3 linked regions of the Cricetulus griseus genome follow. The protein of the gene in region 1 interacts with the protein of each later gene in a biochemical or structural test. Links are inferred from orthologs where the notes say so. Each region holds a gene or a part of one and is shown in the gene's direction. Other genes may lie near its edges.

Region 1 (3,962 bases):
TACAACTCACACTGGTGGACTAACACCCTCCCCACCCCTGCTACCCTCACCCTCCGTGGCCATTCTTCACACTTGCCTTTTGACCTGTGAGCAGATGTTAATGACTCAGGTTGAGTGTTCTCATCCTCTGAATCACTCAAGAAGCAAAACATGATGCAGGGTTTGCAGTGGTTTTTCTAAAGCACGGCTGGCAAATACCTGCTGGGTCACAGCGATATTTTCCTGTGCTGATACATCCCCATTACAGAGCAATGTCACACTCTCTGTGCAAACAGATGTGTTGGTCTTATTAATTTTTTTTTAATACAGCATCAACTGTTTTTAAAGGAAGTGGAGTCTTCCTCACAAATCCACAGCTTTCATAGGTTTGAAGTAAGTCTGACCGGGGAATGGAGTTGCTACACTGGGCCAACATCAGCTTGCAATGGGTCTCGTTGTGACTCTTGACTGCAGAAGTGAAGGAGTCCCGTTGTGGGTGGTCTTTGTCACCTTTTGAGTTTTCTGAGCTGCCTTAAACTGGCCCCTCTTTGTTGTCTGTATTTCTTCCTACACCTGAGGAGCATCGATGGTTTGAAACAGGCTTTTCTTTCTATGGACGAAATGCTAATTGTGAACGAGTAGGCAGATACTCTATCTACTCCAGTCTCCTTTCTGGATGAGAACACGCTAGCCTTCCTGAATGCCATACATACTTCCCCTGGGGCCGTTTATCTACTGAGTCATGCAGTTTTCAATCATTTGCCCTCGGATCCAAGCTGAAAAAAAAAAAAAAAATGCTGAATTTCAAAGAAAAGTCTCTGAGGAATTATCCTAAATGACTAAATTATTCTATTAAGTTGTTATGTGAGAGGGGAAAATGCAATATATTTACTTAACAGCTTTCCCTAAGAAGCTAGTTCCTTCTGCTTGGTGTTCATTATCTGCTTATCTGCTCTGAACCTTCCAAGTCCTGTCATCTAAAGGCATGCCTCACCGTTGGAGCTGGGGCCTCCATGGTAATTCTCAGGTGAATCATGTGTAGTAAGCAATTGTGACGTTGTTTTGCACACCTCTCTTATTTCTGGACCACAAACACATTCCACCACCCTCTATAATAGCACTTGCTGTCCGCGTTGCCCACGCTTATCTTTATAATTTGTTTCTATTTTTTTTACATTTACTACCATGCTTATCTTTGTTGTTTGTTTACTTTTTAAAACATTTACCAAACTAGAATTAAGCAACACAGTAAGAATAATTATTTAATACAGTGCTCTGATTTTTATGCAGAACTTTAAGCAGGGAAAGAATGACAAGAGTTGCTTTTATTACCCATGGTGCAGCCCAGTAAATATGAAGGAATTAAAATGGAATTTGGGGTATTTTATTTTGCTACTATTTTCTTTCCTTTAATCGTGTGTGTGTGTGTGTGTGTGTGTGTGTGTGTGTGTGTGTGTGGCCACTCAGGAGGTGACCAAACTTGAATTCCTTTGGTAAAGTTGATAATACTTAATCCAATCTACCATGAATCCTGAATTCATCCAACTTGGTTTTAGAGTTTTACATTGTACAATATAAAGTACTAGCAATTGAATATTGAGAATAAATTGTGTGTAACCTTCTTACTAAATTATTCCCTTTGGCCATATTTAAGTGGACATTGGAAATCTAAAAGAAACAAGGTAAATATTAGTCATAACCTTTAAAAAATACTGGTGACTGCTCTAGAAAGTTACCTTTCCTCACAGCAGTCCTTGTGTCTACACTGGTCCCCGTAAATGACCTGTTTGGTTAAAACCATACTGTTATATGCATGTCTGCTTCTCTTTAAACTCTGTGGGCACCTCGGAAAACTTCATTCCTGGAAAGGAGCCTGCTCTCAGGTAAATTACTCAAACATCTGGTGCAAGGATTACATTTTTTACAAGCATCAGACAGCATCGTATAGAAGATGTGACCCTCTCTTTCACACTGTCAACACCTGGGGGGGAACATTCAGTCTTGTGTACATGTTGTGGCCGGACACTGATGCGCCTGTTGTTCATTGCAGCCTGACAGTGCGTATCAAGGCGGAGTCTTCTTCCTCACTGTCCACTTCCCGACAGACTATCCCTTTAAACCACCAAAGGTATTTATTTCTGTGGCTGATGCATCCCATAGCAGGGGTTCTCACTGTTTGTCTAGAGACAGGCTCATGATATCACAGGTTAGCTAGTACAAGGTCCTTTGTACAACTTCCAGATCTAAAATACTCTTGTTTTTTGTTTGTTTGTTTGTTTGTTTTCCGAGACAGAGCTCCTCTGTGTAGCTTTGGAATTTGGAGCCTATTCTGGAGTTCGATCTGTAGGCCAGGCTGGCCTTGAACTCACAGAGCTCCTCCTGCCTCTGCCTCCTGAGTGCTGGGATTAAAGGAATGCACCACCACTGCCTGGCTAAAATACTCTTTCTTAGTCAAGTAGTTTCCTTTGCCTGTTAAACAAAAGGTTGCAGTGGCTACAAGTTAGGCTCATGGGCTTTTCCTCCTTATGAGATATGTGTAGTCTGGAATGTTTTTATAGTCTGAGAATCTATAGTCTGTGGACAGACTTTCCTGTCCACAGTGTTATCCTTCCAAAGAGGACCCTGTTTTCTCTCTTGAAGTGTTCAGTGAACATACATTGACCATCCACTACGTCCCTGCATGATGGGAACCACAAATGAAGCACACTGAATGGCAGCAGGGAATGAAAAGACATTCTCCAAGGTTTAAAGGCCAAAGAAGAAACAAGTGATGGGGGGGGGGTGTGAAGGAGGGAAAACAAACATATATTTGCTGCTATGGAAATAATTGTAGCATTTTTAAAACACTGAGTTTAAAATCCTATGGATGACATCACACAACAGTGACTCTTGTCGGAATTCAGATGCTCAGTGGGTTTTACAGGACGGGTGATCATCTCACTTCTGCTCTGACGGACTCGGTGACCTGTTTATAGATCCAGGTGGCCTGCTGGGTGTTACTCACAGGCTGGTTAAGAAGAGTATTTGGAGGTGTAATGAAAGCCAGAGCAGCTGGTCCAAGTGCCAGTCACCCCAGTGATTGCAGACATCCTCATTACACCCAAGATACGTCCCAGCACCTGGAGGAGAAAAGGAGGTTAAACTGAGTCTCCTTCAAATTCCCAATAGCGGACCTGCATGTAGATGTTTCTGTTCCAAAGCTGTGTAAAGTTGAGCACATTTCTCCCTTGAGTGGATTGGTTCTGCTTGTTCATCGCTTGTGACGATCAACCTTTTTGTTGTTGTTGTTCTGTTTTATGTGTAGATTGCTTTCACGACAAAAATCTACCACCCAAATATAAACAGTAATGGAAGTATTTGTCTTGACATCCTGCGGTCCCAGTGGTCACCAGCTTTGACTGTATCGAAAGGTAATTTCATTTATCAGATTTAAAATAGGCATGGAGAGGACTGTACAATGTCTAGGGACCAGAGTTTAAACAAAAACCGAAGTCCAGACAAACAAAACAGATGCCTCAACCCTCAGTGCTTACTATTTTTGTTTTGTTTTCTCTAGTAACTCTTCGGTCATTCTGGCTTTTAGTAAACTCTGGGATTGGGAGAAATGAGTGAATGGCCAAATCTAAACAAAAAGGGAGTTCAAGGACATCCAGAACTATTACACAGAGAAACTCTGACTCAGAAATAAAAAAAAAAAATTTTTTTTCAGCAGTGAATTTACCATAAAGTGAATAAAGGAAAGATTCTGTCTATAATTATTCAGATTACTATAGTTCTTCTTGGAATGGTGTCCCAAAATGGCTCTCATTTGCCACAAGCTGCTAAGTCCTTCTCACTTAAAGAAATGGCTGGCTGCCACGTACTCAATGACTATCAGTGGTGCTGTGGCTTTTGACTAAAAAATAATTCGTATTGCTAGCCTAGGAGCATAAACTGCTCCGGTCTCATCACATTCCAGGATCGTGACAGAATTACCAAACTCG
Region 2 (4,523 bases), on another chromosome or scaffold:
ATTTATCCTGAATGAATGAGGCCTCTTGTACTTTCACTTTTGCCATTATCCATAAATTACTTGGGATAGCAGCTAACATACAGCAGGTCTATTGATGATCTATGAAAGCTTGCAGAGTCTAGAATTCTGAAGATATGGGGTCAATAATAATATTTCTAAAATTTCCAAGCAAGTTCATTTTTTTTTTTTTGGATAAGGTAGTGTATACATACTAACTTTTTATTTCCATGTCTAGCACAGTAACTAGATCATTTCCTAAGAAAGACAAGTGTTCTTCACACAAAAGCTGTGAAATCCTTAGCACATTTATTAAATCCTATGGTCCCTTCCTATGGGTGTCAGAGGAATGGCCAAAACACTAAAGCAGAATCCTTGAGCTTTATCTGCAATGCAGCTAAATAACTTTGGTCTGAACTTGTAATTTATAGTGAACACTTAAGCCCCACCTGTTTCTAAATAGAAGGGATGTGTATTTTAATGTGTATTTTAATTTTACCTCATTTACACTATAAATACAAGTAAACAATGGTGAGCTTAATAGTTACAATGCAAGTAACATTAGCAAAGGTGAGTCTGACAACTTGTGTGTGTGGGTATTTTATTTTTGGTGATGTTGTTAATCTCATCTTTGATTCCTTGGCACTTAAAACTTGCACATAGCTATTTTAAAAGGACCTGGGAACTAATGCTTGAAACTGCAGACTTAGGTAGACTCGTTCATTTCTGTAAAAGTTCAATGTATTTGGCCTGAGCACAGCAAAATCTTACACATGAAATGTCAGTCCTTTTAACTTGGAGTTTGGCAGACAGCGAGATGCACATCCAATGGCCGAGCAACATTTCACCATGATTTTATCAACTCATAACAAAACTGTAAGAGAATTAAAATGGGTTAGTAACTTTAGGGCTAGCCAAAGGCAATTCCCCAGACCCCAACCTCTGAAGTTCTGCTGCTAAAATTTTCTAAGGTCTCGGTAACTTTTTAAGAGTGGATATTTAGTTACGCACCTTGAGGTCTGAGATTTCAACTTTTTAGGCTTGGTTATTTCTCTTGTGTCCTTACCAGGGATCAGATTTTTCTCTGCCACAGGTCTGGGCACCCTAATAACTTCCAGCTGGAGCGTCCCCCTTTCCCCAGGGACACTCCACACACAATTATCCTTAAAGTGTCCCTCCAAATTGTGATCTCATTGAATGCTGTGTTTTTTTTTTTTTCTCACTACCCATCTGTGAGTTCCACTAGGGCATGTTACGGCGTGCCTACTTTTCCACTTTTTCTCCTCAGGTCTCAGCTGGTGACCAGCATCGGGAGATAGCAAAGGAACGAGGACAGCCGCCAGCTCGAGGTGCTGCGCGCGCCGCCACCGAGCTCCGCCCCGCGAGCCGGGACGAGGGTGGGGCCTGGCCTCGCCGGCGCCGGGTGGCCGAGGGCGGCCTGCAGCAGGACCCACCCGGCGTCGCAGCGGTCCCCTTCGCCCTGAGATCGGGGCTGGCCGCGATGCGAGGGGGAAGAAGAGCCAACCTCAGAGTTATTACCGTCAGCAGCGAAGACACCGACTAACGTCGACGACGGAGTTAGCGTCTCACTTCGCTTCCTCCCCTTCCATCAGGAACCGGAAATCTGGCTGCCCCGGGTCACGTGAGCAGCTGCCATATTGACTGGTGGCAGCCGCGGCGAGGAGGCGGGGTGTCAGACCGGCTGTGCGTCTCTGAGGCGTGGCTTCCAAGCTGGGGGAAGGTTCTGTGGATTGTGAGGGGAGGTGGAGGAGATGGCGGCGACGGAAGATGGCGTCCGCAGCCCGGAGCGAGGGCGGCGGGGCTGCGAGCACTATGACCGAGGCTGTCTCCTCAAGGTGACGACTTGAAAGGGCACTTCCTGAGAAGATGCCGCCGGGGTTAGGCCGGGGCAGGTTAGGCCTAGGCGGTTAGTCTTGGGCACAAGTTTCAGACGGAGCTGCTTGTTAAGATACCTTCTGCACCTGGAATTGGGTTGCCCCTTGCAGGGAACGTATTTGGCAAGGCGAGCATGAGCTCTACCTTAGCTCTCAGCTTTTGTACCTTGCAAAGTTCTTGTTGTTTGTAAAGAGCGGGGCCTTGCACAGCGTCCCTTACCCAGTGGGTTTATTCGTCATTTGCGGTTGACAGTAGAAAGAGGCAAGTGTCAGGCCTGTCCAGGACCACTGTCGGATGTGTATGATGGTAACGAAAGGAGGATAAGCCAAGGGAAAATCAGAATGTGATTTTTGCTCGTGTAGTAAGTAGCTGGTGTAGCCGGTCAGCTTCATTTTGTTGTCACGGAGAATATAGAGAAGTGTGGTGTGAGAGACAGTGTAATTGCCATTAGATTGGATTTTGGAGACGTGCCTAGTACGTAAATGTTATTTTTGCTGCTTGAGAAACGTTCTAGTCCTCTAGAGTTTTAATAAAGGTGGGCCCCACACAATTAAGAGTTTCTTGATTTTTTTTTTTTTTTGGAAGTAATGTGATTATTTTGTTGAGAAAGCCTGATACTTGAGCTGGGGGTGTAACTAAGCTGTAGAACTTATGCTTAAAACGCTGGAGGCCCTGGCGCCAGCCATCTGAAGTCTCCTCCCACAGAAAAGAAACGTGACTGTTGGAATCCTGTAACTTTTTCCCTGTATCTTAGTTCTGCTCGCAATTTGCTCTGCAATTTTGAGCAAGCTGCTTTTTAAATGGCTTGCATATAAAATGGTAATTTTAGAAGTTCCGTTTTTCTTTTTCTTTTCTTCCTTCCTTCCTTTTTTTTTTTTTTTTTTTTTTTTTTGGTTTTTCGAGACAGGGTTTCTCTGTGTAGCTTTGGAGCCTATCCTGGCGCTCGCTCTGTAGACCAGGCTGGCCTCGAACTCACAGAGATATGCCTGCCTCTGCCTCCCGAGTGCTGGGATTAAAGGCGTGCGCCTCCAACGCCCGGCAGAAGTTTTTTTTCATGACTGGTCTTAGTGGTAAAGGACTGTAGTTCTATCAAACATGTACTTCCAGCTATTTGTGAAGCTGAGGCAGAAGGAATGCCAGCCTGGAGGTGCCATTGCCAAGAAGGAAAAGAAATGGGGATCTGTCAGTCATTGCTAGAGTACTGACCTCACCTGAGAGTCTGTAGGTACTTTCTCCACCGCCAAAGGGGAAAGCCCCTCTTTTATTAGCAATATGATGACTGCATTCTAGAGTGCACATGTACTATTTATGAGGTGCATCCCCAGAAATGGGTAGTAAATATTAATTACCACTATCAGTCATCATCATCATCTTTTTTTTTTCTTTTTTCTTTTTTTCATTTCACTTTACCAGTCAGCCCTGATGGTCACTGACCTCGAAAGCTAGTATTAAATGATAGGCTTTGGTCTGTAAGACAACTCAAACCCTTTTTGTAGGCCACAGTTTGGCAGATGTTGTTTCATTGCATTGGATGAAATTCTTTCAGACTTGTCAGTTATCAAATGTGTAAGCAGTTGAGTACTATTCTTCTGATTACATTTTCTACTGAAATACCTTCACAGCTTCAGAGTGAGATATGGAACTGAACATCTTGTTCTTCCCTGGCCCCTGCAAAGAAATTGCATAGCCAAATTTGTGTTTTATAACACTTTAGCTGCTTTTCCCTGAGTGTCAAGCATTGCTCTTCTTTCCCCTCTCCCTCTTCCTTAAATATGAGAGGCCAACTCAGGTGTTTGAAGGAACAAGTCATCTACTTGATCAAGTGCAACTGTTCAAGTAAGATAAGGAGTGACATTTGACCTTTGACTTGGCAGGGGAAGGTCACTGTTCATCTTGACAAGAGAAGTGTCAATGAAAGGATCCAGGGCAAAGCTTATTGGAATGGATATTAGAAATAACAGAATTTTTGGATTTTTATTGCAAAGGAGAGCAAAACTGTGTCTGTTTTGCTGAAAGATGTGTTACAGTATGTTTCTGCACACTGGGAAAATGATCAAAGAGGCCTTTTTGAATGCAACAGGAAAAGGGAACACTCTAGGACTACTGTTCTTGAGTAGTCAAAGTGAAGCCAGCCTTAGCTCAAGTCTGGTCTAACTGTAGAGTCTTTGTAAAAGGAGACAAGGCAGTAGTGTGTTCCTTTATTGCTGTAATAACCACCACAACCAGAAACTACTTGGGGAGCACAGGGTTTATTGCTTACACTTGTAACAATTCATTAGGGAAGCCAAGACAGGTTCTCAGGCAGGACAGGAACCTGGAAGTAGGAACTGAAGCTGTGGAATGCTGCATACTACTGGCTTGCACTTCATGGCTAGCTCAGCCTCCTTTCTTATATAATACAGGATCACCTCCCCAGGGATGCCACTGTTAAAAATGGTCTGGGCCTTCATACATCAGTCATGAATCCAGAAAATGCCCCACAGATGTTCGAACTGGCTAGTATGAGGGAGGCAAATCTTCAGTTGAGGTTCACTCTTCCCAAGTGATTCTAGTTTTTGTCTAATTTTATCTAGAAGATAAAGCATATTTATTCTCAAGAAGGCTGATAGATCTTATGAGTGAATGTTTTC
Region 3 (4,701 bases), on another chromosome or scaffold:
TCAGGCTGGCCTTGAATTCATAGAGATCCCCCTGCCTCTGCCTCCTGAGTGCTGGGATTAAAAAGGCATGCTCCACAGCCCCAATATTTCTTGTACTAGTTTCTCTTATTAAACTCTCAACGTCTTTGTTCAGGGCTTTTTGTTCACCCCAAATACTCTATGCCTGAAAATAGCCATCTTCTTGTGGCCTTCCAGGCTAGCCACACTGGAAAAGAAGGTCTATTAGCCTATCTCTCTCCAAGTCCACCTTCCTCCACACTCCATTTTTGGAAGCACCTGGCATACTCTGACAAAGTGACAGAGGAAGTAAGTCTAGGGACTAGGTGATGCTCACATCCAGCCCTCAGCACTTGAAAAATTATTTGTTCAATGAATAAGCGATCATGAATATATGAGAAAGACTGGGACTGAACTGGAAAGGTGATTCTCTGTTGCAAAGTGAAATTTGGTCAACAAATATTTATTGAGTACTCACGGTGTCCTTGCCTTGTGGCTCTATGTCAAAATACATGGTAAACACAACAGGAATCGGCCTTGGACAAGGAGTTTCTAAAACCACTTTTTAGCTGCATTGTTCTATTTCCATGCTTTTTATCCACCTATTGATTTTTCGGGATTACATTCTAGCCTAAAGAATCGACTTGTTTCCTTAGACCCAAATAGTTGGTTTCGATCTGTCAGCAAAACCTGGATTCCTATGTGCCTCCTAATAGCTAACCCCAAATGTTAAGACTCCTGATGTTTGGGTCCAAGCTAACTCCCCCCAAAATGTTAAACTTCCTGACGTTGGTTGGGGTCCTTGGATGGGAACCAGCAAACCACAGCACCATCCACCAGAGGGTGCTGTGAGGGCAGGTTTGTGGCGGGAGGGGAGCTCGCCCAATGACCCTCAAACCCAGGTAGACGGATTAGTTGGTTTTCTTTCTTTCTAGTTTCCTTCCCACCCACTAGAACCGTCGCCGCCCCTCCCCCACGCAAGGACTCTTCTTGAATATAGTGATTCGACTCTAGCCGTGCTTGTTCCGGAAGAAGTCTGGCCTCTGTCGCAGACACCCGGCGGCTGGAGCTCGCTGGTCCCCGGACCGCCAGGGGCGCAGGCGGCGGGTGGGTGGGGACCTCCAGGGCCGCAGCGCTCCGCCGCGCCGCAGGGGCGGCGAAAGGGTTAACCCGGCGGGGGGGGGGGGGCGCGGGCCGCGCGTGCGCTCTGCCGCCCTCCATTGTCTCCACGGCGGCGAGGAGCGCCGGCGAGCGCAGCCCGGGACTGAACGGGGCGGTGCGGCTGGCTGGCGGGGCCGGCGGCGGCTGGAGCCGGAGCGCGACGCCACGCGACCGCGGCTTCCAGAGCTCCGCCTGGCTTCCCCACCGCCGCGAGCCCTCCCGAGGCCTGGAGAAGTCCGGGCCGTCGGCCCCGGTCGTCGAGTCCTGAGACCGGGGACGCGCGCGGCGCCCCGAGCCTCCGCCGCTTCCTGCTGCGGGCGGGCGGGCGGGCGGCCTCCTCCGGCGCCTCCCTCCCTTCGCTGCGGCTCCTCAGGCTCTCGAGCCCGGGGGCGGCCTGTGGCGCGCGGCGCCCGCTCCGGACCGCGCGTCTTCGGACCTTAAGGAGAACATGCATTCGGCTTGGACTGTTTGAAATTCTTAGTTTGGGGTCCCCGCTCGCTTGTTTTTTCCGCCTCGCGGATTTTCTGAGGGTTTTTTTCTCTCTCTCTTTTTCATTTTCTCCCCTCGGGGCTCTTTTTTAACCTCCCCCCCTTTATGTTTGCCCAGCCCTCCACCGGCTTCTGAGTAGTGGGGGAGGGTTTCGGCCTCCAGGTTCCCGCCCCACCGGGGCCCGGGCTAGCATGGGGGGCAAGCAGAGCACGGCGGCCCGCTCTCGGGGCCCCTTCCCGGGGGTCTCTACCGATGACAGCGCCGTGCCCCCGCCGGGAGGAGCGCCCCACTTTGGGCACTACCGGACAGGCGGCGGGGCTATGGGGCTGCGCAGCCGCTCGGTCAGCTCGGTGGCGGGCATGGGCATGGACCCCAGCACGGCCGGAGGGGTGCCCTTTGGCCTCTACACCACCGCCTCCCGCGGGACCGGCGACTCAGAGAGGGCGCCGGGCGGCGGAGAGTCCACGTCGGACTCCACCTATGCTCACGGCAATGGTTACCAGGAGACAGGCGGCGGTCACCATAGAGACGGGATGCTGTACCTGGGCTCCCGAGCCTCGCTGGCGGATGCTCTACCTCTGCACATCGCACCCAGGTGGTTCAGCTCGCACAGTGGTGAGTCCGCGGGCGTCTGAGGCCTTGAAGGGTGGAGTGCAAGGGAGGACGCGCCGGGGCGCCCCAAACCTCTTAGTGTGCTAAGCTATGGGTATGAAGCTAACTCCTGCCTTTCCCTTGTGATTCCTTCTGTGCCAGAGGATGAATAGGATCAAGTGGGATAACTACTGGCTAGGGAAAAAGCTGTCTACCAGGCTGCGGAGCCGGGCGTTTTAGGACTGCAGACATGTGTTCACTTGTGGATGGCAGAGTGAAACCTGCCCATTGAAGTCCGTTTATTAGCATCATGATCCTCAGAAAAGAGGTCTTCTTGTCTGGCTTACAGTTTGGACTCTTCATTTCTGCCTCTGTAGCATGGTGCCTACCTGTCTGGTTAGGGAGCTAGTGTCTCCTAAACAAAGAGTGAGAAATAAAACTAGGGGGCAGGTGGTTCTTGGACTAGGGTTCCTACCCTTGCTAGGAAAGGGAGGAGGCTGGTTTTTCCACCCAGCTGGGTATAAATTGATTAAAATGGAGCAGGAGGCTGCCTTAGACAGGTGTGGTCTGCTGTATGGAAAGCCTCCCTCCTTGGATTTGCAGGACCAGGAGTCTGGTCTCTCATGCTGCATTCAGTAGACTTGGCTCATTGACTCTCACATCCCTCCATCTTTTTTCTCCTACTCCATGCTAAGTGCTTGCTTTCCCGGTGAATCTGCATCTTTTTTTTTTTTTTTTTCTAAAACAGAGCACCGGCAAGGTGGGGTATTATTGCCCAGCAGTTGGCACATGACTGGGGAAGAGGAAGGTTGAAAAAATCTGGATGAATTCATTCTGTGCACTTCTGGTGACAGGCCAGGAAAAGGCTGGAGGGGGATTTCCCAGGCTCGGCTGGTAGGGCAAAAAAGGCCTGGCAGGCTCTTCTAGAGGAAAACAGGTCTGTCTGCTTGGCTGTCCTGAGAAGGCAGGACAGGCTTCTGGAAAATTGGTCAAAAGGGGTGTGGGACTACTCTTTGTTAATTAGCAGTTGAAGTGAAGAAGTTACATATTCAAATTCCTTTGGGTGAGTTGGGAAATTTTAGTCACTGTGTAGGAGAAAGCTTTCTCATATCCTTAGGGTACATTATGGAAGGTTTACCTGTGGGATTACTTTTGTAGCTATTTCAAAACCGAGTAGGATTTTTGGGTCTCTTTTTTTTTCTTTCTTTCGATCAATTCCATAGGATAGTGAATAGTTTAGAGCCGCTCTGACTTTAATTAAACTGTTGGAAATCAGATACAAGGCATGTCTGCCTGCGGTACCCTTTAGGCATTTGTTCTGCGTTAGGCATCTTGGAATTAATAATCCTTCTAGATAGTTGAATCCAGAAGGAGTCAACTGTGTTTGTGAGACTTCTGTGATTACGTTTGTAAATAAACTGTCATTAAAACTGAAAACAGTGTAAATCCGTTCTCTAAAATCACAGAATTTTTAGTGTAGCCAACAGCTCATTTTATAAAGGCTTGTATGGAGGAGTGAGAAAAGGAGTTACCTTTTGGGTAAGATTCCTGAAGTCTGTCTCTTACTAGAAACTTCTCTTATCCTTGTTCCACTGCCAGATCCCCTGATAAAATTATGAACTTATAACTGAATTCTGAAATCTCACACTTCAGCCATGAAGCCTTAGAGTCTCCCCCACCCCCCCCATTCAGGCCTGAGATTAGGAACACCACTGAACAATGGGAAGACAAGAAAAGTTGGAGATATTAATCCTTTCAGTGTGTGTGTCCGGCCCTTATTAACATTATAGGTAACACATTTATTTACTTATTTTTAGTATTTGTTTTTATTTATTTTAGTATATAGGATCATCCTGTCCTTTTACAAGACTTTGAGCCTATTGAATGCCCAGGGCATCCTGCAGTTCACCTCAAACTGCCACCATGAATTCCCAGATGCCTTTTGCTGGGGTGGCTGTACCGGGCAGATTGAGGGATTCGTTCTTTTGTACAAATAGAGTAATTAGTTCTTCCTGTGCTGTTCACTTGAGGTGAGTTCTCATTTGCATCAGTGGTTCTGTCTCCTGGAACAGGCCATGGAATTTTCTGGGGCATCCTTTTCTCTCTTGTTCACGGCTGCAAGAAGAGAAGCCGTTTCCACTTTGGAGCCTTTGAGTCAGGTCTGAGCAGCTTTTGCTCTTGTGTGGTAAGATTCCACCGGTAGGACTTTCAGTGCTTGATTGACCAGATGTCTGGAAATTGATATAGTTTTATTACTTGTGTTTTCAAGATGCTTTGGGGACTCCTCTCAGCACAGAAAGCTGTCATTAGTGAAATAAGTCAAAGCTTCAGGCTTATGCTATGTCTGGAAGTAGAATGCCAAGGGGTTCCAGCCTTAGGTCCTCTTCTGAGTAGCTTTGACCTTGGACAAGACACAGCACCTTTCTCTAGGCTCGTCTTTGTCATTTTAAAAATAGATGTGGT

Evidence for each region.
Region 2: the proteins of Ube2d1 (region 1) and Rchy1 form a complex in vitro, tested with the Homo sapiens proteins (2 studies listed by BioGRID). The link is inferred for Cricetulus griseus from reciprocal best matches to the Homo sapiens genes UBE2D1 and RCHY1.
Region 3: the proteins of Ube2d1 (region 1) and E3 ubiquitin-protein ligase ZNRF1 form a complex in vitro, tested with the Homo sapiens proteins (2 studies listed by BioGRID). The link is inferred for Cricetulus griseus from reciprocal best matches to the Homo sapiens genes UBE2D1 and ZNRF1.

What each region holds. Positions count from the first base shown.
Region 1 is NW_023276806.1:266,581,508-266,585,469, forward strand, and holds part of Ube2d1 (ubiquitin-conjugating enzyme E2 D1), read left to right. Parts: intron 1-2,029; coding exon 2,030-2,107; intron 2,108-3,283; coding exon 3,284-3,389; intron 3,390-3,962.
Region 2 is NW_023276807.1:156,684,887-156,689,409, reverse strand, and holds the start of Rchy1 (RING finger and CHY zinc finger domain-containing protein 1), read left to right. Parts: upstream 1-1,416; 5' UTR 1,417-1,769; coding exon 1,770-1,853; intron 1,854-4,523. Other genes in the region: Thap6 (THAP domain-containing protein 6), read right to left, coding at 769-848. UniProt on the Homo sapiens protein: E3 ubiquitin-protein ligase that mediates ubiquitination of target proteins, including p53/TP53, TP73, HDAC1 and CDKN1B. Mediates ubiquitination and degradation of p53/TP53; preferentially acts on tetrameric p53/TP53.
Region 3 is NC_048596.1:187,949,780-187,954,480, forward strand, and holds the start of E3 ubiquitin-protein ligase ZNRF1, read left to right. Parts: upstream 1-1,594; 5' UTR 1,595-1,776; coding exon of another isoform or gene 1,777-1,838; coding exon 1,839-2,262; intron 2,263-4,701. Other genes in the region: serine/arginine repetitive matrix protein 1-like, read right to left, coding at 1,008-1,594, 1,777-1,840. UniProt on the Homo sapiens protein: E3 ubiquitin-protein ligase that plays a role in different processes including cell differentiation, receptor recycling or regulation of inflammation. Mediates the ubiquitination of AKT1 and GLUL, thereby playing a role in neuron cells differentiation.